Linked DNA regions of Medicago truncatula. The main gene of each other region encodes a partner of the protein of the gene in region 4 in a complex. Links are inferred from orthologs where the notes say so. Each region holds a gene or a part of one and is shown on either strand. Other genes may lie near its edges.

What was found.
Region 1: pheophorbide a oxygenase, chloroplastic (region 4) and pheophytinase, chloroplastic share a complex: the UniProt entries of both Arabidopsis thaliana proteins name them as parts of the SGR1-CCE-LHCII complex. The link is inferred for Medicago truncatula from reciprocal best matches to the Arabidopsis thaliana genes ACD1 and PPH.
Region 2: pheophorbide a oxygenase, chloroplastic (region 4) and 7-hydroxymethyl chlorophyll a reductase, chloroplastic share a complex: the UniProt entries of both Arabidopsis thaliana proteins name them as parts of the SGR1-CCE-LHCII complex. The link is inferred for Medicago truncatula from reciprocal best matches to the Arabidopsis thaliana genes ACD1 and HCAR.
Region 3: pheophorbide a oxygenase, chloroplastic (region 4) and chlorophyll(ide) b reductase NOL, chloroplastic share a complex: the UniProt entries of both Arabidopsis thaliana proteins name them as parts of the SGR1-CCE-LHCII complex. The link is inferred for Medicago truncatula from reciprocal best matches to the Arabidopsis thaliana genes ACD1 and NOL.

Annotation. Positions count from the first base shown.
Region 1 is NC_053044.1:11,853,792-11,861,049, forward strand, and holds the start of pheophytinase, chloroplastic, read right to left. Parts: upstream 3,021-7,258; 5' UTR 2,859-3,020; intron 2,637-2,858; 5' UTR 2,620-2,636; coding exon 1,885-2,619; intron 1,299-1,884; coding exon 1,072-1,298; intron 832-1,071; coding exon 640-831; intron 560-639; coding exon 403-559; intron 1-402. UniProt on the Arabidopsis thaliana protein: Alpha/beta hydrolase dephytylating specifically the Mg-free chlorophyll pigment (pheophytin), yielding pheophorbide. No activity on chlorophyll. Belongs to the chlorophyll catabolic enzymes (CCEs).
Region 2 is NC_053042.1:17,899,635-17,907,323, forward strand, and holds the start of 7-hydroxymethyl chlorophyll a reductase, chloroplastic, read right to left. Parts: upstream 3,024-7,689; coding exon 2,963-3,023; intron 2,712-2,962; coding exon 2,542-2,711; intron 1,548-2,541; coding exon 1,436-1,547; intron 195-1,435; coding exon 110-194; intron 1-109. UniProt on the Arabidopsis thaliana protein: Probable iron-sulfur flavoprotein that converts 7-hydroxymethyl chlorophyll a to chlorophyll a using ferredoxin as a reducing equivalent. Catalyzes the reduction of a hydroxymethyl group to a methyl group. Belongs to the chlorophyll catabolic enzymes (CCEs).
Region 3 is NC_053049.1:16,823,071-16,830,218, reverse strand, and holds the start of chlorophyll(ide) b reductase NOL, chloroplastic, read left to right. Parts: upstream 1-4,137; coding exon 4,138-4,381; intron 4,382-5,351; coding exon 5,352-5,420; intron 5,421-6,056; coding exon 6,057-6,118; intron 6,119-6,214; coding exon 6,215-6,301; intron 6,302-6,860; coding exon 6,861-6,928; intron 6,929-7,005; coding exon 7,006-7,054; intron 7,055-7,133; coding exon 7,134-7,148. Other genes in the region: DExH-box ATP-dependent RNA helicase DExH3, read left to right, coding at 1-61, 185-658. UniProt on the Arabidopsis thaliana protein: Required for chlorophyll b degradation. Chlorophyll b, chlorophyllide b, pheophorbide b and pheophytin b can be used as substrates. Belongs to the chlorophyll catabolic enzymes (CCEs).
Region 4 is NC_053045.1:28,997,269-29,004,925, reverse strand, and holds the start of pheophorbide a oxygenase, chloroplastic, read right to left. Parts: upstream 3,004-7,657; 5' UTR 2,921-3,003; coding exon 2,483-2,920; intron 1,914-2,482; coding exon 1,678-1,913; intron 1,364-1,677; coding exon 1,237-1,363; intron 99-1,236; coding exon 1-98. Other genes in the region: uncharacterized protein, read right to left, coding at 6,397-6,523, 6,611-6,693. UniProt on the Arabidopsis thaliana protein: Catalyzes the key reaction of chlorophyll catabolism, porphyrin macrocycle cleavage of pheophorbide a (pheide a) to a primary fluorescent catabolite (pFCC). Works in a two-step reaction with red chlorophyll catabolite reductase (RCCR).

The DNA.
Region 1 (7,258 bases), on a different chromosome or scaffold from region 4:
GACAACTATGAAGCACGGACACTAGTCACGACATGGACACTGACATTGCTAATAATTTGAGAAAATCACATAATTCAGTGTAATTATGTGTCGGTGTCAGACACAACACGTGTCCGGCATCGGAACACGCCTAATCCGAGGAGTGTCTGTGCTTCATAGACTCAATAGCAGGTGGCCCAACAGATCTTGCATAAACTCTTTTATGATCTAAGAATTACAGCTGAGCTTAACCGCTTAACATAACCCTACAGAATTAGCTTGTAAGATGAGGGATGCCTCCAACTTACAAATTCATTTTCAGGCCTAACTCGTATCCAATGTGCGGCTCTTAACATATATTGCACTTAAAAAGAAGCAAGAACAGAAAGAATTGTTCAAGTTAATAGGTCAGGAATTGCATACCTCAGGGACTTCATCATGAGGGCAGTGACCAGCAGGGCTGATTTGATAATATGGTGCTTCAGGAACCTTCCTTTTAACCTGAAGTCCCCATATAGGTGTCACCCAAGGATCTTCTTTTCCATACATGAGGCAAATCGGCACCTTGTTCGCTCGACATCTAAAACATACACACCGCAAAAACCATTAACATGTGTATCACGTATATCTAATACTAGTTAAAGATTTAGTCGTGTCTACCTTGATAATGTTTCGCTGAAGGATAATTCCCCTTGGGGGGCAAACATAATTGAAGCAAATGAGGCTGCCGCAGCAGGATGTCTTGTGGTTTCGATTATGCGTGAAAAAACGTTATCCACATTTATTGAATGATCTGCGTAAACCTGATTAAGTACATCGGCAATACTTTTCGGATCACTAATTTTCTCCCACCTAAAGGAAACAAATTAATAAGAATCAGGTAAAATGTAATAGATATGATAAAGGGCACCTGGAGGTGTACTATCAGCAGTATAATATCACTCAGATGATCAACTATTATATTCGCAAATGAATGACTATATTGGCGACATACAAGAAATGTACTAATCAGAAGTTCGCAGCTAAAATACTAAATCATATCAGGAACTAAGAAAAAAACGAAGCAATAAATAAAAATGAAGCCATACTTACACCAACTCTGTAAGTTTCTTTATATTTGAAGGTAGAGGGAATGTTCCGGCCCATGGAAATACTTTGGCAAGTCCAGGAGATTTTACTGGATTTGGCAGAAACCCCCAAAAAGGTGTTGCATTAAGCAATGTCACGCCTTTCACTAAATGAGGATAGCATGCAGCAAAATATAAAGCAACGTATCCTCCTAGTGAGTTGCCTACAATATAGACCGGTTCACCGATGACCTGAAACGAATTTGTATAATAACATTTAGATTATAGTGATATAAAAACTTCCTCAAATATTATTTTTGAAGATAGTGCAGAAAAGTTCAGCAACATTACATATTTGAGTAAGCATTATAAGTATAGGAAGCATTAAAGTGCTGATGATTACAGACAACATTATTTATGGAATACAAGAGTACTTCTACATCGATTTACCTAACCTCGTTTGGATAAACAACTTAACTAAGCGTTTATAGCATAGATTCAAACTGTATTCATATAAGCTATAAGCTGTTTCATAAGCTATCCTAGAGAGCTTAGGGAAATAGGCTGAAAACAGTTTATAGATATGTCATAAGTTGTTTTTATAAATTCTGCCAAACAGTCTCTCAAGTGCTTATGCTAGTAGATAATCTCAAATAAGTCAATTCAAACAGAATTTTCTTTTTTAGACAATAATCCAGCATAAGTTGTTAGAAAAAAAATCTAAAACCACATAGGAACAAGCAAATTTGCCAAGAACATTTTCCAGTATACTATTTGAGCAAACAATGGATTAAAATAACTAAATATTTGCTGCTACCAAACAGTGCAAGTCATTTACCTCTTCAATGAAGTACCGAACTTGATCTTGCCATAAATCAACCGAATACACAAGCTCATTCGCCCATGGTTCAGTTTCATCTCCAAAACCCCAAGGCGAAACATTTCCACTCGATGTAACCCCTCCTTCCTTAGACGAAGGAGCAGGATCTTCAAAAGGCAAAGACATTCCTTGTCCTAAAAAATCCAGCGCCCAAACTCGAAAATCACGACCTAAATCCATCAACTGCTTCTCATAATGAAAAGAACCAACACCGAAACCCGGCAAAAATAGAACATTTGGAGAATCCAAATTTTCACAACCAGCTTTCTCATAATGAACATTCAATTTAGGTTTCCATCCCTTAAAACAACTACGTATAACCGCACCGGATTCACCGTTTGATTCATCCGGTAAACCAGGAATCAAAACCTTTGAAGCAGGTACATCAACCCCTACAATATCTCTTCCTTCACCTTCATTAATCACATAATCACCATAACTTCCACTATTAACCTTAAATTTGAGTCTTTTAGAGCCTTCAAAAACACTTTGTGACCTAAACCCACTTTGTTGATTACCCTTATCATAAAATCTCAATGACCCAATTGTGTAAAGATTATTGATATAAAAACCTCCATTTTTTCTAATATAAAAAACCCTTGATTGAGTTGAATTCGAACTATTTTTAACTGATTTTGTCTTTGTGTTCATAACTTGACAACATGGTGCAGAACCATATGAAAGAGTTTCCATTTCTTAGCAACTATGTTCTACAGAAACCAACAACAGAAAATGATTCAGTATGCTAAAAATTCAACTTGATTTTCACAAAAACATGAACAAAGTAATATGAATTTTTTTAGAACAAATCAAATATTATATGTGTTTCATACACAAATAATTGAAACTAGAAAAATTAGTTCTTCAAACATCAATTAAACATGAACATGTGATAATTAATAAAAACATGAACATGTTTATGGAAACATTACCTTAAATTTAGTGAAAGAAGAAGCATGAGAATCTAGAACTACTCAAAGAATCTGGTATATATTAGTTGTTATAGGATTAAGAGCAGATCCAAAGAGAGATATACAATAGTTTAGAGTTGCTTGGAAGATTCTACTTCCTCTATGAGCCAAGAAAAACCGAATAATATATTTTTATGAGTTTAATTTATACACACTTACACACTTTTTTTTTGGTATTTATAAAATTTTGTTTAATAAATGCATCTGATAAATATAATTTATTTTCAATTTATTAAAAAATAATAATTTATTTTCTTTTCATTTTAATAATAATTATAAAAAAAGTCAAATAGTTTATTAAACTAAAAAAGACTTACTATAATATTAGATGACTTATACAAAATTTATTTTAAAAGTCTATTAAATTTTAAATTAAATTTAAGAAAAAATTTATCTAAAAACAGTTAGATGAGATGATAATATTTCTCTTTTAATTTAATCAAAGTTCATAAATTTAATAAAATTTTTCATTTATTACAACTTATTTAATTCGAATGATTAATCTCTATAGTTATGCGTATAAGATATATCCAATTTAATTTTTTATTATTTTTATATAAATATTGAATCTAAAATTATATAGTGGAGCGATGATTAAGTATTCCTTGTATTCGTTAAATGAAGAGATTAAATTAACTACGACTTTTTTTAATATAAAGTTAACCATGTTTTTTTTGGAGCTGATTATATATAATATATATTATATATAACTATGCTGATGGAGTTGGATGAAGAAATTAAGTTAAAATGAGGAACTTTGTTAATTTAGTTAAGAAGAAATCCTGAAACCTAATATTTTAAATTAGTTGATTAAGAAATTAGTTTAAAAAGAAAATAAATTAAACTAGCTTCCATGTTCGAATATTAAGTCTTCTATTAGGTAAATATAATTGTCTTGCAAACTGAGAAAACATGTGATAAGTTTGGTTTTGTCTTCTACAGAGGAATCATCCCCACAACGCACGCAGTTTGGACAAAATTAGACAGAGCCAAAGTTCTACCCACCACCAATATTTCATATTGGCCACACATTAGTTTTGATTTATAGTACACACGTGTCCAACATGGTAGGAATTCAAGTGTATGATTGATAGAATGCTACCGATGTTAGAATCACTATGATCCACCACGATTTTTCATAAGGTAAAAAGTGTAGTTTTTGGAAAATAATGATGGATCATTGTAATTCTGATATATTTATCGATCATTGTGATTTTGACATACTCCATCTATTCCAAAGTATAAGTAAAAATTGGTCAATAAAAATTAGGCTTAATTACCTTTTTAGTCCTCTAACTATTTAATTGGTATCGGATTGATCCTCTAACTAAAAAATAATTTATTTCGATCCTTTAAGTTTCTCATCGTTACTACATTTAGTCCTTTTTGATAGTTTTATTCAAATAAACGTTAGAGTTTCTGTTATGTGTGTCCTCTAACTTTATTTATTAGTATCATTTTGGTCCTATGCCTTGTTAAGGTATTATGATTAAATAGTGACTGATATTATTGGTAACTGTTATGGTTCATATGTATGTGTGAAATAGGAGGTCAAGTGCCCACATAGCATAAACCCTAACGTTTATTTGAATAAAACTAACAAAAAGGACTAAATTTAGTAACGGTGAGAAACTTAAAGGACCGAAATAAATCATTTTTTAGTTAGAGGACCAATCTGATACCAATTAAATAGTTAGAGGACCAAAAAGGTAATTACGCCTATATAATTAATGTATTTGATCCAAAATTTGTATCAAATACATCAACATATGTTAATTCATTTTTGCTTATATTTTGAGACGACAATAAATAGGTTTTTCAAAATAACATAGCTTACAACACACATTTTTGAACGCATCCAATCAAATTTATATGGGACATACAAAATTTAGTAAGATCTAGGTAGTAAATTTTAGACTTAATTGCGGATTGGATTCTCATATTTTCACCATTTTGGAGAATTGATCCTCCTATTTTAAAATTTGACAATTTTGATACACCCATCAATTATTTGGTCTAATATATCGTGACATAACATGTTTAAAATGATATTTTTAAGGAATTTTTTTAAAACTTAATTGATGTTGATTTTCATCACTAGATCATATATCACGACAAATCCACTTGGGTTAGTCTGATGATATTGATTTGTAACCTTAGAGTGTGTTCTTTCTCATGGTCACAACTTCGATTCTCTCTGGTATTTTTTATTTATTTTTCGACAAATTCTCTCTGGTGTTAATTTGAGTGAGCTAATTATCTTCTTTAAACAAAATCATATGCCAAAATTATGAGTTTTTTAAATATGGAGAACAATTCTGCAAAATAGTAAATATAGATGGACTAAAATTGTAATTATAAAAAATGAAAGTGTTTGAAAATGTATGTCAAAGAATATATTTTTTAAATCCTAACTGTGTTTTTGCAAAAGTTCACTCTTCATTTTTTTTTTTAGCTCGGTATCGTGCCCGTACGCGGGTTCGTTGGGCTGCGTCCGTGACTAGTAAATTTTTGTAAGAATAGATTAGGACTGGTCCTCTCGGTACGGTTTATTACGATGTATTCCTGTATAGATTGTACTTGGGTCAGGTCTCATGCCCCCCAATCTTTGTATCTTTCTTTTTGTTTAATATAATTTTTATTTTGCCTAAAAAAAAAAGGTATGTCAAAGAATGTGATGTTAGTACTCATTTTTTCCAAAACAGCAAGTAAAAATTCAAGAGTTTTTACGGTGAAAGCTTTGATAATCTGTAGTTCAGATGTAGTTCAAATGCTCAACAATACGTGTATTGTAAAGTGCGTATCAAAGTGTATAGACAATTTATTGTAAAGTGTATTGTAAAAGTACGTGTTAAAATATGTCTAGTTAAGATGCTCAACAATTTATTCTTAACAGAAGTCGATTTATCACTTAAGCCTGTTTGTTTTGGCTTTTCAGCATCAAGAAGTGATTCTACAATTATCAAAAGTGAAAAATTGAGTTTTCAATGGTGTTTGGTTTGGCTTTTAAGAATGATGTAGGATTTTTACATCTCATAAAACTATTTACACATAAGTATAATAGGATCGTTATAACACCCCGTTTTCCCAACATAAAATTTCCATTTAAATAATCAGAGTATTCATCATAAACGGAATGTCACACTTCTTTTCTTAAAACATAATTGGAATAATTAACTAATTTTCCTTCAAAGTTCAATCAACATAATATTCAAATCATAATCATCATCATATAACAATATAAGTCATCACATCATAAACTTCATCTTATAACAACATAAACAACACATCATAAACTTCATCTTATAACAACATAATCAACATCATAATCATCATCATAAGCACTTCGTTAACGACACATGGGTAAATAGCAACTTAACAACAACGACACAACTTCAACTTAACAATGCAACTTAGACTTCTTATTCATCTTAGACCATCTCAAAAAAATGCAACTACAACCTCTTAATCATGCATGTGGTACCAACCATGGCATCAAACCCCCAACATATTGAGCATAAATACACTCCCATGGCATCAAGCCCTAAACTTAAAGAGCAAAAGCTCACATGGCATCAAGCCCTCAACGTATTGAGCATAAATACACTCTCATGGCATCAAGCCCTCAACTTAAAGAGCAAAAGTTCACAGAGCATCAAGCCTTCAACGTAAATGAGTATGCATGGACTCAACAACTAATGCAACAACAACCAACAACTTCAACGACATCGTCAACAACTTACAACTTTAACGACATTGACAACAACTTACAACTTTAACGACATTGACAACAACTTACAACTTTAACAACTTGACCAACATATGCAACTTAATGATTTAATAATCAATACAGCAGAAACATCAACATACTACAACTTCACAACATAACATCATTAATAATAACAACTTGAATGGTATAACAACATTATTTTCTATATCATACATTTTCCACATAAATATATGTAACTCAAATTATTCAACAACAACATTCACATAATATATGTATTTCAAATTATCCAACAAAGATATTCACGTCAAACCAAATTATATCTATCACAACATAGGTTAAATACTCTTAAACACCCTAGTTGAACTCATAGTACTTCTAGTTTTGAGGTTTGGAATTATTCCTTAAGTTTTGGATTAACTTAGACCTCCTTGGAGTATTTTCATCATATCTCAAGAGCCAAAAATCATTTTCACATCAAACCAAAGCCACTGGAAAGCTAACTCAATTATCTACAACTTTCATGTTTACACCAAAGGCCAATTCAAAACAGAAACGTGTGAAAAAGACGCAAACACATGAAACAGGACGTGCTGTCAGAGAGCAACTCGGGAAAAACTCACTTTTCACCCCC
Region 2 (7,689 bases), on a different chromosome or scaffold from region 4:
TATACAAAGTTAGATCAAAGTTAATTACACAGAAAATAAAGTCAGATTAAAGAACGAAAAGACACTAGAAATATGACTCCAATAAAAACATGTAGATTTTTTATGATACCTTTGTACACAGATAACAGCTTCAACCATGCCTGATTTAAGCATTTCAATTGCAATGGTTGTTACTATACCAGTCCATTGAGCTCCTATGAACAGAACGAATTTTACAAGTAAAACTGTTCATCAGAACTTTGATAACATGACTATGCCCATCATAGACATAATTGTATAAATAATTTAATCAAGAAATTAGTTGCAACTGCAGGACATTTCGAAACACAATTTCATTGTACAAGACAAGTAATTCTTAAAGAGCTGTGCTATTGTGCACGACAAAATCCACACACGACAGGTACGACTGTTTACATGGCATCATCATCTTGGTTTAAATTAAATTTTGATTAAAATAATTTTAAAAAACTGAAATAGCTGTTGGCAGAATACACGTCGTGTGCATTTGACAACAACCATGTGTCGTGCTATATAATGTTTTCCAATCTTAAATTACAGTTAAGCTTCTGGTCTGTCCAAAAGCTCAATGAGGGCCTCTTTGCATTGATTAATTTAAGCTTAACTACTAGAATACAAACTTGCGAAACTGCTAAGAACTTATAGAAACAGTTTATGAAGTATCCATAAGCTATAAGTTGTTTCTATAACCTCTCCATGATAGCATATGAAAACAACTTATAGCTTATATGAAATCAGCTTGACTTTATTTTATCGTTTTGTTATAGAAAAAGCTTATACATAACTTATATTATAAGCGCTTAATTATGTTGTTTATCCAAACTAGGCGTTAGACATTGACATTGAAGCCTTACTCCAAACTAAATACTAAAGGAAACAGAAATAGTTATATCAATGAAACATTTCGGTGTGATCTTAATTTCTATGATCCTAAATAAATTTAGGAGGCCATCAAAGTATGCTAGGAACAAACTGGTCTTGCAACAAAAAATGGGGAACAATTTCCTGGTTTATAGAATAGTGGCAGAGCTTTGAGGGTTTTCCCACCTTTCAATGTCAAAAGGCCCGTATTCTTTCAAATGACAAGCTGATCTGTCCTCCCTATTTAGTATTTATAGTCAGCCTAACTATTCAATTATCTAAATACCCACAAAGGGATTACCTACCAATGTCACATATCAGAGAAACCATTGAAAAAATGCTTCTTAAAAGGTAAAGAATAGCCAAGAGGTCCCACTAAAAAAGCAGAACAGAATAATTTTAAATGCTTATTTATCAGCATAACAAAATTATAGTTTGAACTCTAAAACTTGAGCGCAATAAATACACTGCACTCAAAGATTCTCGAATTTGATAGTGTCATACTCATTAGAACGAGGAAGCATAAGAGTTAAACAATTTTAAAGTCAGAATATACCTTCGACAGGGTTAAGTTTCCGAGCATACAGAAGTTCCTCAAAGACACCTAAGTATGTCTCGTCTAAGGTATCAGTTTTTCTCCCTCTACCATGAACAACAGGTTCCAATTTCTGAAACAGAAAAGGAATGATAAAGAGTCCAATCAATTTTGGTTTGTATAAACTTTGTCATTTTCTGGATATATTTATATCAGTTATGAAAATTCTCATGATTAATGCTTATAAGAATATTAAGGCAATGCTTGAATTAGGCATACAATAAATGAAGTTTAATTTAATGCTGAAGTCACAAAGAAATAACTGCTGCATATTGAAATTTCAATTTGATATAATTCCTTATCAGCTTTGTGCAACAAAGTGTACTAACATTAACATAGTCCTGACAAGTAATCATTCAATAGAAGTGAACCATTTTTGTTGAAAAAGTAAATCTAGTTCAAATGCCAGATTCTTCTACACTAGAATGGCTGCTTATTGATTATTTCCACTAGGTGCAAACTAATTGATTTGATATTAATGTGGCTAAGCAACACAGCTTTGTTCCCAAAAATCATCACTTTGTTAGTAACTTTGTGAAATAAGCGAACATAAAACTCAAGTCGGAGAAGAAAAGGGTTCCTCTCCTTTTCTCTTTCAGTTTCAAGTCCTACTATGTTTTACACTTGGCCTAACTCATCATTACAACACTGGCCTCTTCATGCCCAGTACTATTGGACCTAATGCTTGGATAACTTTTTTTTTTTTTTGAAGTAACTAAACTAGCCCACCCAAATTGGCACCGAAGATAATCGAAACTGGGACCTTAACGAGGAGCATACTCCAAGGTCTCACGTTAACACCATCAGACCAACCCAAGTCGATATCGGATGACCCAAATGAATAGCTCTGCTACCATATTATTTTTTTTATATTAAGACTAACTCAGCCTTACAAAATCAACTTGATCCCTACATCTGACATAATGCTAACAATTACAAACAATATTAAAAAGTCCTTTCATATCACATAAAAGTTTCAAAAACAAAAAACAAATTTTTTTAACCAATTTGAAGAGTAAAATTTACATGACATAGATAAGCATCATTCATAAATTAAAGAGACTTACTTCAATTTTAGACATTCCATCTCCCAAGAAAGCACAAGCATTCTTAACATGAGCAATATAATATGTATCACACAATCCACAACGACTGCATTGATCTTTAGCTGGGTAGGTTCCACCTGGTGGGATAGGTTTTGACCTTTTCCTCCAGTCCTGTTTTGAAATGGAGGATTCTGCTACCAAAACAAGAAGGGTAAGACTGATATGAGAAAAGAGAAGTGAAGGAAGGTTGCATGCACACTATGAAGCACGGACGTTCGTCAAATTAGGCATGTCCCTGATACGGACACGCTTACACATATAATTACATTGAATTATGTGATTTTATCAAATTATTATCGGTGTCCGTGTGTAAGTCTCATGTGTCCGTAAGAGTGCTTCATAGCATGCAGAGAAAAAGAAGAGCTGGTAGGTAGTACTTTACCTTGTGATGAAGAAGAAGCACGAATAGAGAGAGAAAGAGGTAGCGAAGAGAGAGAAGACATTGCTTAGCAGTAAACTCAGTTCAGCTGAGTGAGTGAGTGAACACTGATGATGATGTGGCTTTTTCTGTTCCACACAACAAAGTTAAGAAGAAGAGGATTTCTAATGTAATAAAATTCAAAAAAGGCACAATAACATTTTGGTCTTTTAACAAAATTTTAGATAATAATTTAATTATTTATTTATTTTATTTTATTATTTCCTTTTTGATTTATTTTCATATGGATTTCATGTTTAAAATTTATGGTTTCATTTTTTTATGTTCTCTCAATCTTTAAATCTATGGTTTTTCATTTCCGTTATATATGAATTTTTGTTTTGAATAAGCCAAAATGAAATATATTAACTTATCAAAGGTGATTCATCTTGCACAAAATGTGCAAAAGAGAACACCCAACAAAACAAAGTTTGGTACAGTCTTAACTCAAAAGGTACAGCGTAATAAATAGACAAAAAGCTACACCAGCACACCCCATGCATAATAAGGATGTTGTCCCCAGTCATTATAACTGAAGGCGAAGCTGGGCATATTTGCCTTAAGCCAATTAAAAGACATAATCTTGACCCTTTCTGATAAACGATCCGAAGTCAATGACTTTTGCTGAAAAATCTTGTTATTTCTTTCCTTCCATATAACCCAAACACAAGCATGCCAGATTACTGTTAGAAAAGAATTAGCAGACCTCGACAAACCTGCCAACTGTCCAAAGTGCTGAAAGTGGTCACCAACTGTAGCTGGAGCAATAAAAGAAATGCCTACCCACCGATAAACATAGTGCCACACTGAACCGAAGACGTCACAATGAAGAATGAGATGAGCCGCAGTCTCAGAACAACCGCCCCCCCCAATGCAAGAGGTGTCATCCTGATGAGTAATTCCCCTACGAAGAAGGTTATATATTTACAATTTGAAAATATATGTGCAAATTAAGTTAAGAGAACGAAAATATAATTTGATCAACTGAAAAATAAATCAATAGTTTTAATTTTAATTTTTAATACCATACGAAAATTTTAATCAAACAATTAAACTCAAGTGGTTAATGAACTTGCTTAAAAAAAGTGGTTAATCGACTCTACAAAAAGACAATTTGTTCCAAAGAACATAAGTTTGATTCCTAGATGAAATAATAATCGACCAAACTTAAATTACTCTCGAACGCACTTCAAATTACTAGACAACTTTTACTAGAAAATCGAAGGTTAACAAAAAGAAAAAATATACCATACAAAAAATTTCTTTTCCGCACAAAGTGTTAGAGTTTGATCATGTGTACTAATTTCCTTTGTCTTTAATTACTCCAACAATCCGTAATTATAAGCTCTCTTTGAAAAAAGTCTTGTCTAAATATAAGGCTTATACAAATTATTAGATGCATTTATTATTTTTTCCTAAATATATCCCTAATTAATACAACTAAATTGCATTGGAATATAAAAAGGAAAATTAAATACACATAAACAAAGGACAATTTAGTAAAATTCACACACAAATTTGATATATTATCTACACTACCTACTTTTCTTAATATGTGAAATTAGTCAAAGAGACTTATAATAAGAGACGAAAGGAATATAAAACTAACTACTACTCCATCTCAAACTAAGTATTAGATTTTGATCATTTAAAATATGGGTCTTGTTAACGAGTTATTTACTTTGATCATTTTTATTTACTAATATACAAAGAACAATGGTGCTCCCTTTATCTTGAAATAATTGTTACAATTTTAATTTTTATATATGTCAATGCATAATTTTGACCATTAATATCTTAAATAATTTATTAGCAAAAATCATTAAAATTTATATTTTAAAAATCTTTACTATGAGAATAAAACAATATTTTATTTATTAACATTATTCTTTATATATTAATAATAAATATGATCAAAGTAAGTTACGTAAGTAGTGTACATGGTCAAACTGCAACAATTATTTTCAACGGAAGTAGTGTGTAAAATGAAAAAAAAAAAAAAAAAATTGAAGAAAAATTATGTTCTATTTATCTTAATGACTGATATAAAAATATATAAAAAAAATTATATAATTTTGCTAATAAATAATATATAAATTCAAGATTAAAATTGTACATGAACATGGTTAAAAGTAAAACTGTAACAATAATATTCTTTAAGGATTTGCTTTTATTTTAAGAAAATGAAACTATTTTCAACAAAGTGAATATTTTTCTTTTTGAAACAACAACGTTTAACAATCAAGTCTCTGCAGAAGAAAAACATGAACTAAAACTACAAAACAAGAAGTCTTATATAGATGGAACATCGAGGAAAAAAAAAAAAAACCATAACACCAAACTCAGTGCTACCACCAACACCAATAAGAAAAATAACCACCAAAAATCAAAGTCAACACTTAAGTCAAATCAAGACCCCACACTTCCTCGCGAATGACAACATAAACAAAATTCAAGCATATATTGTCCACTACTCACCATAACGCTTCAAACAAGCCATCCAACCAATCAAAACCCTCGAAAACAGAACATCATCTTCTCATCTCCACAATTGAGCTCGATTAAACACCAAAGAAAAGGCTTACTCCAACAATCCTTCAGGTTCTACCTACATTCGACCTCCGGTCCGTCAGAGAACACACCATAACAAGGCAAAAAAATTGAGTCAAAAAATTGATTATGAATCTTGAATCAAAAGCGATTGACCCACCATATACTATAGACAAATCACTAAGGCACCCCCACAACTCCCATCCTACCGGAGAAGACTCTATAATCAACCTAAATAATTGGACATAGACACTAACTCTCAATCCTGAAGCAAGAACAATCGACCCACCAAAACCTAGGAAATAATCCTTCGAACAATCTTCAAATAGAGTGGTAACCTAAACAGAACCAGATCGAAAAAAGGCTTAGCTTGAAAACTTCCCCAAAACAAGGACAACTTAAAATCAAGTCATAAACCAATCGAAAATCCAAAACCGACACAAGTTAGCAGTAACAAAGATGTTAAGGATATTTTTTTAGAAAATTATCGATTTTATAACATTAAATAAGTTCATTAATATTAGTTTCTTTTTATAAAAATTATCATATTAAAGACTATGGGGTATGCTAATTTATCCCCGCATATAAAGATCATTTACAATTTTTTAGATATGATTGTTATTCTTTATTATTTTTTTTACTAAAGTTGTTATTCTTTTTTCAATATATTTTTTATTGTCTTCAAATACGAAATCAACATTAAATTTATCTTAGCTTCCTCCATTGTAGAGTGAGGTATATTCTTTTCAAGTATTTAAGTGTGCCTGTCGGGGCATATCCTAGTAAAGAATGGACATTTGAACCTGATGTTAAGCTTATTGCTAAGAGTGTACGTTCATGGAGTGATAGGTTTGTTAATTTGGGTGGGAGGGTGGTCTTAATTAACTTTATGCTTCATTCAATTGAAATCTTCTACCTCTCGTTAATTAAGATCCATGTCAAGGAATGGAAGAGGAAAGTTTGGCTAGAGAGATGCTTCGTTTAGGGAGGGTAGAACAGGGGGCACTGGGATATCTTGGGTTTGCTTCGAGGATGTGTGTCGGCCTAAGTCGAAAGGGGGATGGTCTTGGGATTTGAGATCAGAGGCTGGTTCACCAAGATATGATGGGGAAGTGGTGTCGGAGACTCCTCTATGGAGATGCAATCATATGGAGAGATATCATTTGTGCTACGAATGATGTTATTCATATCTCGACTACTTATGGAGAGAGGGGGTTGCATGTTGTCAGCTCCCTCCCACGGTGGAAATGAGTATCGCTTTGAAGAAGTGAGTCGATGCTACTCGAATTGGTTCACTTAATGAATGGTAAAGATTTTGTATGATAGTCGAACGTATTCCTCTTGGGATAAAGTTTATGTGGGGGGATATTCCATTAAGGATGATGTTTCCTAGGTTGTTACGGTCTTTGTTTATGCTCTTTGTGGGGTTTCTTTCGAGTCTGCGTATCGTTTTTTTATTACTCAAAGGGTGACCTATAAAGTTTGGTATAGGATTATTATATGGTAAGGATGGGAGTTAGTTATACTTGGGATTTGACTTGTCTTTCTCGGTGGTTCTTTGGTTTTGATCGGAGAGAAAATATTAGGGAGGTTTTTTTGTTAATCTCGCATACTATTGGTTTATAAGATTCAATTTTTTTCGTGGTATTGATTTTTTAGGCACTATGAGGGAAATTTTCTAATTGATGTACATCCTATCACTAAAAAAAAATTATGATCCCTAAAAAAAGAAGTTTATATTGTATGTAAGACTCTATTGTGGACGTTCTTAACGTATAACTCAATCAATAAATAAAATTCTTATTTACTATAATAACTGATTAGCTAAAATGTATAACTAGTTTTTCTTAAATACATTCATAATTAATTTTCATTAACACAATCTCAACATGTTCATGATAAATATGATTAAAAATGTTCATTTTAAGTTTGAGTACTACATACCTTATCAATTCTACCGTCACATCGCGATCGTTTTTTTACTTCCCAGCTACCAAATCCATTCATTTGGGAATGGTTTTGAGCGTCCAGACTTCATTAAAGATGTAGTCTACATACATACAATCTAAACCCATATAGGGTTCGAAATCTATTAGTAAAATTTAAAAGATATAGTCGTAAACTTTTGGAGAATAAAAAGT
Region 3 (7,148 bases), on a different chromosome or scaffold from region 4:
TAATTTAGCTGACTGCTATTTGAAGCTTAAGGACGAACTTGATAAGCTTATCCAAAAGAAGGTTTGCATATTTTTGTTGTTGTAATTGTATTCCTTCTTTCTTCTTCAAAAAAAAAATTGTATTCCTTCTTTACTTGTCAATACAAAACAATGCTGAATGATAATGGATTTTATAATAATGCAGCTAGAAGATCCAGGCATTGACATTCACAAGGAAGGGAAGTATTTGATGCTTGCTGTTCAAGAATTGGTTTCAGGGGATCAGTGTGAAGGAAGATTTGTGTTTGGTCGTGACAGCCGGAAGCCTAAGGCCTCTAACGACGAGAATAAATTCACTAAAGATGGAACAAACCCCAAGAGCTTGCTGCAAACACTTTTGATGCGAGCAGGGCACTCCGCACCAAAATATAAAACAAAACATCTGAAGACAAATGAGTTCAGGGCATTGGTAGAGTTTAAAGGAATGCAATTTGTTGGCAAACCGAAAAGGAATAAGCAACTTGCAGAAAGGGATGCAGCTATAGAGGCATTAGCTTGGTTAACTCACACCTCTGACAATGCTCAGCCTGAAGACGATAAATCTCCTCCTGATGTCACTGACAACATGTTAAAACTCCTAGGGAAGCGTAGAAAATCATCGAAACGACGTTCTGATTGAATTATTATCAATTGATCGTTTTTTAGGTTAGTTTACCCATTCTGGTGTCCTACATGAGTTTCTCCTAGGCATTATTTAGTGGCTCCTGATTTCGTTATTCTCATTTTCTCCCTTTTTTGAATTTGAAAGGGCATCCAGTTTTGGCATTTGGTTTGCACTTGAAAGGTTGATTGAATGAATATCTTAGTCGTCTCCTTCAAGCCAAATCCAAAATATTTTGTAACCATTATGTACACTAATGTTTATATTTTTTATTTATATATGGTAGGTACAGTTTTGGCAGTTACTTATATAATTTGTACCGGGTCATCATCTTATAGATGCAATAAGTCGTCTCCCTTTTTTGTTTAATATTGCTAGATGAGATATGTAACATCTGTTTTGTACTGGGTAATATTGAGTCAAGAAAACAAAGACATAAAATGATGAAATAACCTCTAAAAAAATGATAAAAGAAATTGAAAAAAAAAATGTTGGTTCAATTTTTAGTGAACTCTCCAATTGTTTCGAATGCGACCAGACCTCACAATAGTTTTGTGCTATGCTGCTCTGATAAGTCAGCTAGCATGAACCAAGGTAACTTGTGCTTCGACATCAAAGAATGCTGTAACTCTACGGTCCGATGACATCAAAGCATGCAAAATTTTTTAGAGAAACTAAAAGTTGAAGGAAAATTTTAGAGGGATTAAAACGAAAAGTTAATATATTTATAGGGACCAAAAACATATTTAACCCTTAATCTTATTCTTTCAAATAATATAACCTATGTGGGCCATTTAATAATTATAAACAAACAAAAATTGTACATAAGCGTATCAATTGACAACTGCTTTCCCAATTCCATTTCGCATGGCATCGTTTAATTGATTTCTTGTCTTTACATTGCACATTGAATTGAAGTAGCAGAGGAGGGATTAAATTACATCAAAATAATATTACATCAAAATCGTTTTACTTGATTCATATTTGTCAATACATTTATGCACAATTTGGTAAAATAAAATACATAAGTTGATTTAAAAATATGGTGAGGAGGGGGGCCGGCTGAAGGAGGGGGTAGATTTGGTTCGCCTTGGTGGCGGATGCTTTGTAATATCCGCGGGGGGGGTTGGAGAGGGTGCAGGAAATTGGTTTGAAGGTAATGTCCGTCGGGTTGTGGGAGATGGTTCTACTACCTTATTTTGGTTTGATAAATGGGTTGGAGAAATGCCTTTGCGATTTAAATTTCCTCGACTTTTTGACTTGGCTGTAAATAAGGAGTGTATGGTGGCGGAGATGGAGAGGGAGGGGTGGGAGGTGGATGGTCGGGCGTGGTTGTGGAGACGTCGTCTGTTTGCTTGGGAGGAGGAGTGTGTGCGGGAGTGCTCCATATTATTACATAACGTTGTTTTGCAGGTTAATGTTACCGATAAATGGTGTTGGGCACTTGATACTACTCATGGTTACACTGTACGAGAGGCGTATCGATTTGTTGCTAATAATGGTCATCAGGTGGATAGGAGCTTCGTTGACAATGTGTGGCATAAGTCTATTCCGACAAAGGTTTCGTTGTTTGTTTGGAGTTTGCTTCGTAATCGACTTCCGACTCGTGACAATCTTTTACGACGAAATATTCTTCATCCGGCAGCGGTCTCTTGCACGGCTGGTTGTGACGTGACGGAAACAGCGCGCCACCTTGAGTTACATGATCATCACAAGCATTTCTGTTTCATGGCGGGACTTCCTAGATGCACTCATGTTTTTATGCAAGGAATTTGGTATTCTTGCGCTTGGGTTATTTGGCAGAATCGGAACAAATGCATTTTTCAAAACGAGCCTTTCGATTCTCACGGTTTACTAGACAATGTTAAGCGTTATTCATTTTTTTGGATGAAAGCAAATTTTAAATACTGTAGTTTTAACTGGTATGATTGGTGGACTCACCCGCTTCTTTGTATGGGGGTCCTTTATTGAATTATTGTGATTTGTGGTAGGGTGGTGCCTGTGTTTGGGCATTTTGTACTTGTAAATATTTTTCGAAATTCCACTTTTTGCACGCCTTGTGCGGGGTGTTATAGCCGGTGTTATTAATATATATCATTTTAGCTTGTGCTAAAAAAAAAAAAATATGGACCAAAAGTTGTGATTGTAAATTTCATAGAGACTCAAATGAAAAGTGTATATTTATAGTGACAAAAAAATAAATTTAACACTATATGTAATTAGAGTAAAGTAGGGGAATTCAAAATCACAAATCTATCGAAAAAGATCGAAAACAACACAAAACTGCCAAATTTGAATTTGTATCGAACCAAACCGAATCACATACATAAATATCAATACTTATTTTTCAATTACAATAATATATCGCTTTAATCTATTATTTGTTGTTTTCTTTGAGTAAAAACTTAGAAGTTAACTATTATTATTTTACTATTTCAAACATTAACTATTATTATCATTCATAATTGTTATTTTTTTAGTATAGTATAAGTTATTTTTTGCATCAAACCATTGATTTTATCATAAATTTAAAATATTATTTTCAATAGATGTTTTCACGAAATTGTAATTTGAATATTCAAAATCCAATCAAAATTATTCCGCATAAAATTGGGTTGGATCGGAGTTTTTAAGAAGTCATCCAAGCCGAACCGCATTACGACTATTTAAATTATTTGAATCGAACGAATTTTTGGTCCATAACTGATTCAAACCGCACTACAAACACCCCTAGATAATAATATTTGTATCATTTTTTTTTCTTTTTGATGGTTAAATTTAGGTTAGGTCCCTCCATGTTTCTTTGTATTTTCTGTATTATTTTATATTATTTAACCCTAGTTTAAATAAAGGTAAATTCTTATTTACAAATGAACAAAACTGAGTGGAGATGACACATATGAATTATTATCAATTGACTCCAATCAAAATAATTAATTTGTCTTTCACTATTATGTTATACATCCTTAAAAAAAATAAAAAATAAAACTATTATGTTATCCAGTAAAACATTGAAGACAAATAAATAATTTTCATTGGTGTCAACTTAGATGAATAATCATATCCTCCTTTATTAATATAATTGTCATCTTAAAAGGTATAATCGAAAAGAAAATCAAACTATCATTATACATAAACAAAGAAAATGTTAACAAATGTTTTTTGATAAAAAAGTTTAAACTAACTTTTTTTTATGATTTATACATTCAAAACATAAAAACTAACTTTTTGTAAAAAATAACTTTTAAAACGTCATAAATAATACTTATTATTCTTTTTTTTATCAAGTAGTCTAGTGGCTAAATGAATAAGTAGGATGTCCGGAGTTCGAACACCGACCCCTGCACATATTGTGCATTATCCCTTAACAAATGAGTTAGCTGATGGGGACTAAACAATACTTATTAATAATCAAAATTTGAATGATTTTATCCGCAAAAATAAAAAGAGTAAATAGAAGAAAATTGGAAGTGTTGAGGCTGTAGCAGTGAATTGGCATGGCATCATCAATGGCTTCCTTTCAATTGCTTTCTTCTCATCAGCTTTGCATCTCTCCCTTCTCTCGTCTGCCTAAATTCAACACGACATTTACTTCCTGCACCCCCAACAGCAACAATAATAACCGCTTCTCTCTTTCTCTCACTAAACCAACTTCTTCATCCTTTCTCATCATAACAGCTTCTTCTAACGACAATACCATGCTTCCTCCTTATAACGTTTTGATTACTGGCTCAACCAAAGGTCTTTTCTTTTTGGATAATTTAAATTTATTTGTATTTATTCTTTGATGGTTGAATGAAAGTGTTAGTATTCAGTGAGTGGTAAAATCTTGATATGTACATGGTTATATCCTATTCAGATGTAAAATAGTTGAGATAAGATTAGAAATGGCAATATTAGATTAAGAGTTCAGGTAACAATTTAAGTCTGTTTTGGATTGTTTTATTTTTTAGCTTATGCAAAACAATTTTTGCAAATAAATAAGCTTGTATGTATTATTCATAAGTTTGTCTAAGGTAGTTCATGAAAAAACAGCTTATGAAGATACAATTTTCGTTAGTGATAACTTATGAATCAATATAAAAGTTTATTTATTTGCATAAGCTATTTTGAATAAGCTCAAAATTAAGTCAATCCAAACAGAAACTTAGTGTATGTTTGGTTCTACTTCTAAAGAGGCCAAATTTGATTTTAAGTTGTAGAATTGATTCAGACATGATTGGATGCTATCGAGTAGAATTGATTTTGCCTTCAGAGTTGATTGTATTTGAAGCTAGAATTTGTAGTTTTTAATTTTAGAATTGATTTTTAAACACAAATTTATTGTTCAAATCACTTTTACATGAATGTATTCAAACACAAATCATTTTACCTTCAACTCACTTTTAGTCTGAATCAATTCTTGTCACCGTAGAACCAAACATACACTAGAGAGAAAACCTGTAGATCTTGTAGTAAGGAGAGTATATTAGATGAAGGGTAGTGAAATCACTAGATGCACGGGAAAACTTAGAAAAACTATAAGAGAAACGATTAAGAAGGATATAAAGATTAATGAGTTGGACTGAAATATAGTTTATAGTTTGATCCATGTAGCCGACCCAATTTAGTGGGATTAGGCTTCGTTGTTGTTGTAACTTGTAAGTTTTGCTTGCACTTTAGTTGCTCATTTTCAACAATTACCTTGAATCATATTTACCTTATGATTTAGGGATAGGGTATGCTTTGGCGAAAGAGTTTCTAAAAGCAGGAGATAACGTTTTAGTTTGCTCAAGATCAGGTGTGGATAACTTCTTGGATTTTCATTATGTTTCAACTATGCATTTGTTTATTTGTTCATGCTATATACTTCAATATCACTTCAAGTTATATGTATATCACTCTGCTATCGATTCATCAATGATTGATCTTTCTGTTAATCTTTCCCTTGGTTCCTTTGGATAAATTATCAATTTAGTTCCTAAACTATCCAAATATAATAAATAGTTCGTAAAGTATATAGAATCCGTCAATTTCGTCTTTGATCGTAAGATATTTGGTGCTAAATTCACAGTTTCCCGTTTCCATATACTTTAGGAAGTAAACTTACGAATTTTATATTCTATATGAACTACCTTTTTTTTCATAGTTTAGGGACTAAATTGAATGCTGGTTTTATTTTCTTTCTATTTAAGTTATGGGTTTTAGGAAAAAAAGGGAGAAGAATGAAAACAAATATGATTTCGGTGTAATACGATTGATAATGATTTGATACTAACTTGGTATAAAAATATAAGCACCAATCACTTTTGTGTTATTGTTTGTCTCAATTTACCTTGTGAATTATGACTGAGTGGTTGGGATTTCACAGTCTTGTTTATCTCATTTCCATGACTTTGTTTTTGTTTTCTCTATATACCTTGGTATTCATTTATAGATGAAAGGGTAGAGACTGCAGTCAAGAGCTTGAGAGAAGAATTTGGGGAGCAGCATGTGTGGGTACCTCCTCTTGAACTTCTATCTTAGTAGAAACCCATCTACGATAAATATATCACTCGTTTTTATGTTCTCATGTTCGCATTTTGTTTCTTGCAGGGCACTACATGTGATGTGAAAAATGGAGAGGATGTGAAGAAACTAGTTTCGTTTGCTAAAGAAAAACTGAAATACATTGATATATGGGTACTAATGTCTGATTTCTTTTTCCCATTGAAATTTTTATTTTGCAATATGAGTAGAAACTTTTTGCGAGGATTTAATTGGTTCTCATTGATAAACTCATGGTTTGATTGATCTACTATGTAAGCTGACGATCTTAGCGAAATTCTGGCCATCTTATTTTCGTAGTTAGATTCACAATCATCATCACTTACACTTAGCATCAGCGATTTTCCTTCCTTCTCCCCTTTCCCTTCAATTCTTACACTGTTTATAATTTGAAATTGTCTCGTAGCTATATCATTGTTGTCAATTATGGCCATGGTGGATCGTGGTGGAGGGTTTTTTGATAACAGCCATGGCCAATTTGTTACAGATTGCTGCACCATGGCGTTTTATGGTGAATATGGTCGCTTAGAGTGATGAATTTTTGGCTTTCCACCATTATCCACCATCCGCATTTGATAACACAAAGCTATACCAATATTTCATTTGTTTTAACTCCCTAATCTTATTGAATGTGTTTGTTAAAATATACTTTACTAATTCTTTTCTTTCTCGGCCTATGCTGAGAATGGTGTAGATCAATAATGCTGGATCAAATGCGTATAGCTACAAGCCACTTGCCGAAGCATCAGATGAGGATCTTATGTGAGTCACTAGACCTTGCACCCTAAATATCATTCTTACATTTTATTTCTTTGAAATTCTTAATTCTGTGCATGCAGTGAGGTGGTTACAACAAACACACTTGGCTTGATGATATGCTGTCGAGAGGTAAAATATATTCTCATGTAAGAGGCACTGTAAATAAAGTAGGTGCTCTGTTATGCATGGATGTTTAGTTTCTATTTAGGCAATAAAGATGATG
Region 4 (7,657 bases):
ATCCGTGGGTTCCCTTCATTAGCTCCTGAAAAGCCCCATGAACCACGTGAATCCATCTTGAATGGAAGAGGCTTGGCTCTGTCTCTCCTTCCTGTAACCTATGGCGTATATATCATATTTATGTTAGTGATATCGATAACCCTAAAAAAACAATATTAAATCATTTCAACTTTTGGAACTGCTTATATTGATAGCGTCTAAATAACACATATATGCAAAATGATTGACAAACATTGACAATCAATCTATAAGTTTAACAAATCCAAAAGGGAATTTGACTGTGCAGCATAAATCATTAAGACACAATACTATTGTGCAACAAACTTGCACACATCCATCTCCTATGCTGCCTCACCGTTTTTTTGCTTGCACTTCCTCTCCCACATCGATTAGTCTGGAATGCACGATGGTGTATTTAAGTTGTTTGTTTTTTTCCCCTTAATATCTAGCATTCAAACAGTGTCTTAGAAAGGGCTCCAAATGGAGGTGCTGACCGGAAAGACTGAGTAAAGCATCGTAGAAAGCAGCCGCCGGGAAATCGGCTCTCATCATGGGATGCTTCACGGTGGAGTTTCTTCCTTCTTGATATCTAGCTTTTAAGAGAGGGTTCCCCAAGTGCTTGGGTATTTATTAACTTCACTTTTGGTTTACTAAAAAGGTGCGAGAGGGGGAGCCTTGGCACAACGGTAAAGTTGTTGTCATGTGACTGAAAATGTTACATGTTCAAGTCATGGAAACATCGTCTTTTCTAAAAAAGAAGGTAAGGCTGCGTACAATACACCAAAATGGTGGGACCCCTTCCCGAACCCTGCGTATGCGGGAGCTTTAGTGCACAAGGCTGCCCTTTTTTTCTTTTCTAAAAAGGTGCAATCGAAAGTGATTATTGGAAGAAATGAAATAAAAAATTAATTAATTACAAGCATCTAGTTTCTTATCCTCAAAAAGCACTGTCCTTGACTAAATTCTTAATAGCGCAATATAATGTTATTTTAAGTGAAGATATATAAAATATGTTGAGCAAGCAGCAATTTCAGTGAGAGAAAATATATAAAAATGGAACAAACCAAAAGGCCCTCCCTTCACAATTTTCGGACCACATCGGCATCACTTAGTATATTTAATTCAACAAATTCCACTTACAATAATATCTGAATAAAAATATTATCAACAAGCACTCTGTTTGAATATAAAATAACCTGCACACCTAAAAGTCAAGTTGAAATGTATCATTAGTACCTTGTGATGAGCAAAATCAATGTGAGAAGGATCAGAAACATTCTCCATGAGAGTATCATAGCCGTAGAAAAGATCGCGCTGAATGTTCACCGTTGCAAACTCTGGTTTTACAAAGTCATCAGGCAACCTGAAAAACACAATTTTACCATGCAGATCAATAAAGGTACACAACAAACATTTTAATATAACATAACATTTCTAAGTGGCCCAATCACAACAATTTTTCTAAGAAACCAACGTAATTAGGGTATTTAGGTCGAAACATTCTCGTCAATTTAGATCATTGAACCCATTATGGATTAATATCCACTCAGGTGCTTAAGTTGTAGCTTAAGCACTCATTGACCAACTGAGTCACACTCATTGCATCAGTTACTACAAGTTAAACAAATTAACAAATATTATTAATTAGACTAAAGACATAATTAAACAAATCATTACATTGGAGGTTTGGATGCATTTGCTTTCTCCCAACCATTCTCATCAGGCCAAACAAAGAGCAACCCCTGAGACACCAAGGTAGGAAACCTAGTAGCACAAGCTCTAGGAGACCCAACAGCACGTGCTTCGGGACCTTCAGGTGAAGCCTGAGGGATCACAGTGCAACCTCCACGTCCATCAAAAGACCACCCATGATAAGAACACTGCAAGTTTCCACTTTCATCTATCCTTCCTTCCTGCAAAAACCAACCAAATCATAATGGTCAGTTTACATTGACTTATTTGAGCTCATCTATTGGCATAAACACTTGTAAGAGCTTATGAAAAATCACTTATTTGAGCTCATCTAGTTGCATAAACACTTGTAAGAGCTTATGGAAATAGCCCCTAACATGTTTATAAGTTGTTTTCAACTTATTTTCATTGGTTCTTCAGGATAGCTTGTGAAAACAGTTTATAGCTTATATGAAAACAATTTGATTTCATCTTTTATTATTGAAATTGACTTATTTGAGCTCATCTACCGGCATAAACACTGGTAAGAGCTAATGGAAATAGCTTGTGACATATTTATAAGATGTTTTCAACTTATTTTCATTAGTCCTTCTGGATAGCTTATGAAAATAGCTAATCGCTTGAAAGAAAACAGTTTCACTTTATTTTATCTTTTCTTATACAAATAGCTTATACATAAACACTTATACGCTATAAATGCTTAATTAAGCAGTTTATCCAAACATGGCCTAATTCAATTTCCCTCTAACAACTTCAAATTCAATGTTCAACAACAAATAACTAAACTTACAGACAAAGGAGCAAGACGATGAGGACATTTATCATCAAAAGCAACCCATTGAGAATTAGCTTTATCAAACCAAATCACAATTTCACGACCCAGAAGCTGAAACGGCGTAGGCAAACTAGAATCCAGATCTTCAATCAAAGAAACTGGGTACCAATGATCTCTCCATGAAAACTTCGATGAAGAACTCTCATCTTCAAATTCTTCATCAATTTCGTTCTTTTCAGCTTCTGGGTACGATTCAGTTTTTGTGGGTGGTGCTGCAACACTTCTAACTGTTACTAAAAGGTTTCTTCTGTTTCTGTTTCTGGGTCTTGTTGAATTTGTTAAAAATTGTGACTTTTTTGTGAAGGATGAAAAGAGAAACGGTTTTGGTGGTTTGTTTCTTGGTGTTGATGATGAAAGTGTTGCTAAAGGTGAAAGTGTGGGTGAAAGTGCCATCAATGGTGTTTTTTTGTTTAGAAGTTCTGAATTTGTGAAGTGTGGAAGAAATTTATATATATGAACAAGAATTGTTTGAGACGTGCAAGTTTCTAATGTTTCTCATTTTATTTATGTCTTTTTAGTTTTCAGACAAATGTTTTGTTCAACAGTGTCACTGTCAGACCAGTTTTTTTCTGTCTAATTTTTCTGCTAATGAATCAATCACTGTAAGAGTAGTTGTTAATGTTGATTAATTGATGTTAAACTGTGGAGTTATAGGAAATTTATTGGAAACAATGAGTGAAAATATTGTCAAATTTTGTTGTAATGTTTCAATCTAATTTGGTGACAAATTTCAATTTTATTATAGTTTTTAAAGAAAATAAAATGAAAGAGTAACGTGGCGTAATGAGGAACGTCCACACAAGTTTGAAGAGTGTTCAAAGGTTGATGCAGGTATTGACAAGTAATGCATACATTTTTGGTACCTGTGGACCAGGGATTTGGAGGTATCGAGTATCTACTTGTACAATCCAACACGTTAACACTTGTATAATCTAGTCATCTAGACAGTCATTTTGGAGAAAAACAATGGGAACCTTGTAGTGTCATATAAACGTGGCTTACTACATGTTAATATTTGTATTTCTGTCCGTAAAACTTAATTCAACTGATAATATTCATACTTGTGTTCGAAGTTCTTGAATGTGTCATGCACTCATGTGAAACTGTTGGCACCGCCAGTTGTGGTTGTGACTTGTGAGGCACCAGTCATGTTCAAGTTTGATTCCACTTTGTAACACCGCTGCATGTATTTGGTGATCAAGGAAGGGTTCATACCTACCTATACATGTGCTTATTGCACAAATTTCCAAAATCAAGTGTGTTCTTTTTCTTTTCCATGTTTCATAATCGAATTGAGTTCTTATAAACATGATGGTGCTTTTGGTAATCACGTCACAGTATAATCTAATCTTGCATGGGAACGTGAAAAGCAAAATATTTGGAAGGTGAGCTAAAAAGTTCTAGAACACCAGTCTCATTACAAAAACAAAAAAAAATTGACCAAGGAAGGTCTCAAACAACTCATCTCTAAAACTAGCTAATAAATTTTAGAAAACTAGTCTCAATATTTCAATCTCCACAACTAATCTCTAAAGCGAAGCACCTGTAATCATACATTTATATGTTTGTCTCATACAAGAGATATATAATTAAAATTGCATTTAACCCAAAGCAATTACTAGTACAACTAGATGACTAATGTTGGGTTGGGGAAACTGTTTTATTTCAAATGACATGGTATTTATTTCCTCTGATGTCATATGATAATAGAAAAAGTTATGCTCATAGTTTAGACATTGTCTTCATCATCAACTCCTTTGGCCTTTCACACAGTTACTGCAGTTAGTCCAGTCCAAAAATTTGAACCATGAAGCGTAAGCCTCCTTATGTTAGTCGCAACCCGCAACGACCGTGTAAGTGACCGTACATATTCGGCATATTTTCTTCAGTGGCACGCATCTCAGCCTCCGACACTGAAGCATTTACCCATTTTTGGGTCTGCGTTTCTGCAGATTGGACCTGGTACTTTCCTAAGTCCAGCTCATAACAGAGGACCTATTCACCCCAATTCATGGTCAAAGGTCACACAATCTTGAGAATCGTAATCGGCATCGCACAATTCTCTCGAATTGATTGTATAGAATCAAATTTGACAAACCTGAACTCAAACTACACATTTTTCCACAGTAAATATAATTTCATTAGAATATATTGAAAGATCTTTACAATAAACTAGATAAACTTGGTCATGAACAGAGCTAGACTAATCTCTACTTCCTACATTACCTGCTACACCAACTAGAGCATGAGCCACAACATCTTTTTCTGTTCTAATGCTACTTACTCCAGTATTTTCCAATTCACTAAGCAGATCAATACAGTCCAATGCAACAAAATCTATCTCAACTATCTTGTTAACTCAATTCAGAATTACATACACTTCTCAAGTAAGCCATGTTCTCCTCCTTAACACTTCTCAAGTTAGCCATGTTCTCCTCCTTAACCCACAGTACGCACCTCCTAAGCCTTAATGTCAATGGAAGGGTGGTGGGAGATACTTCAATCTTCTCAAGTTTGCTGGTTGCGACCAAAGAACCGCTACCAAATCGCTAGAAATAATTCCCCAACCAATGGAAACATTTGTAAAACAGCCTGCATCAACACGTATGTCGGTAAATCTCAGGGCCAAGGGTCTCCGATTTTGACTCCAGTTGCCTTGTGGACACTTCAGGGCCAAGGGTTTCTGCAGACTGGACCCCTGGACTTTCCTGAGCCCAGCTCATAACAAAGGACCTATTCACACCAATTCATGGTCAGAGGTCACACAATCTTAATAATCTTAATCACAGTCACACAATCCTATCAAATTGCTTGTATAGAATCAAATATACAAACCTGAACTCAAACTACACATTTCTTTTACAGAAAATCCAGTTTCATTAGATTGAAAGATCATTACAATAAACTTGATAAACTAGGTCAGCAACAGAACTATAGACCAATCTAGAGCATGAGCCACATGCCACAGCATTTTTCCCTTCTAAATTCTAATACTACTAACTCTAGTCTTTTCTAATTGAATAAGCAGATCAATACATCTAATATTAACAAAATCTATCTCTGCTAACTTAGTAACTCCATTCAGAATCACTCACATTCAATTCTCAAGTTAGCCATGTCTTCCTCCTTAACCCATTGTAGGCACCACCTAAGCACGGAAGGGTGAGAAACGCTTCAATCTTTTCAAGTTTGGTGGTTTCAGAAAACACATCCCCTGCATAATCTCTAAAAATCACTCCCCAGACAATAAAACCATTTGTAAAACAATCAACATCAACACTTATCTCGGTTAATCCGATGCCTTGTAAACACTTCAGGGGTCAACTTGTTCACAATGTTAAATTCATCTATGATACGAACATAGATGCAAATGCAGAGGAACCCTTCACATCATCATAAGCTCATGCTACCAACGAGCTTAATACCATTTGAACATGCAACACAATATTCATTTACAATCCGATAACATCAATATTATAACAAATGAATCTACAGCGAAGCACAGAAAGTAAGAACAAAGGACTAGGGTTCTAATATAATACAAAATCATAAATACAAGAGTTACAAAGAGACGAGCTTGTTTAAACCCATACAAAACCTTTTTTAACTTACATACTTCCCTCGCACTCGCATGTCTGAGCTAACTTTTGAGAATGAGATCCAAACCCATTTAACATATACACATGTCATAATTAAATAACAACATTCATCTTCTTTTTATTAAAAAAATCACCGTTTGCGAAATAAATCATACAGATTACAGATTGATGAACCACCTATACTCTAAGTTAGTTGCATGACTTAAAATTCAAAATTACAAAAACCACTAAAGAAAACACGAACTTGATCTCAATAAGGGTCAAATTAATTCACTTCTTCTTATAAGTTTCATGATCAGGACCAATATCACGTGACCCAGTATTAATATAAGGTCCTCGAAATGTTGCTTGTGGTGAAAGTGGCTTTGTTGGATCAATTACCGGTTTCTTCGACGAACTAAAAATCCAAAAATTGCAAATTATCAATTCAAATTCATCAATATACATAAAATCAAAATTGCGAATGAAATCGAATTTAACTTACGCCATGTAGAAAGGAAAAGCCATTCCTGCTGAAGCAAAAGCAAGTAATCCAGCAGCAACCACTAAATTTCGTCTTCGTGACATTGATGCAAAAATTCACAAACCCTAAATTGATTTTTTGAGTGTTAGAATAATCTTAATGATGATAACGAAATTATAAAAGTTTAAAGATTAGGATAAAATTCATTAATTACCTTTAATTTTATACTATTGTTTTGAAAATGGTTTGTTTCAAAGTTAGGTTCTGGAAGAACCCATATAAGCTTTTGCTCTTTTGAGAATGGACCGGGTTTTCTTTGGTTTCAATATGGGAAAATTGCTTTTCTGACATAGAATACTTCCTATTGACATAAGTAAATGACATTTTTACCTCCAGTGGCAGTTAACTGGCGTTAGGCAATGCGTCGGCAGTTAACTGATGCTGGCTTCCAGTGGTTGTTAACTGCCGTTGTGTTCGTGATATATTCAAGTCATTAGCCATAACCCAGACACTCACTCACTCCATCATCACCTTCACCATCTTTCTCTCAAATATTCACTAACTCTTTAAAAAACTCTACCAAATTATCCAAAATTTCTTCCACTAAATCACAAGTAAGTTATCACTTATGCTATTGTCATACATTTTAGTATATGTGTTTACATGTTTATAATTTTAGTGGTCGTTTAATTATTAAATTTTGAATTTTTGTTTTTAATATAGTTATGTTGTAGATTTGAAATGCTATTAACATATATTATGAATACCTATTATAATGAAGTTATATTGCTAGGGTTTATGTCAAATTTTCACTACAAGTGTTTGAATGAGTTTTTCATTGATTATTTTTAATTTCTTATTGTGTAGATTTGAAGCAATGGCCAGGTGGATCGACGTTCATGCACAATTCAACGACGGAGAACCTCAGAGGTTGAAGGTTCGATGCCTTGGTGTAACGTTAAGAGGTCTCAAGGATGAACTGATTGAATTCAACCAAGGAGTCAACCCTGAAGACACAAGGAGGGTAGAACACGTTCGGTATAAACGTCCAACGTTCGACGAGTGGAG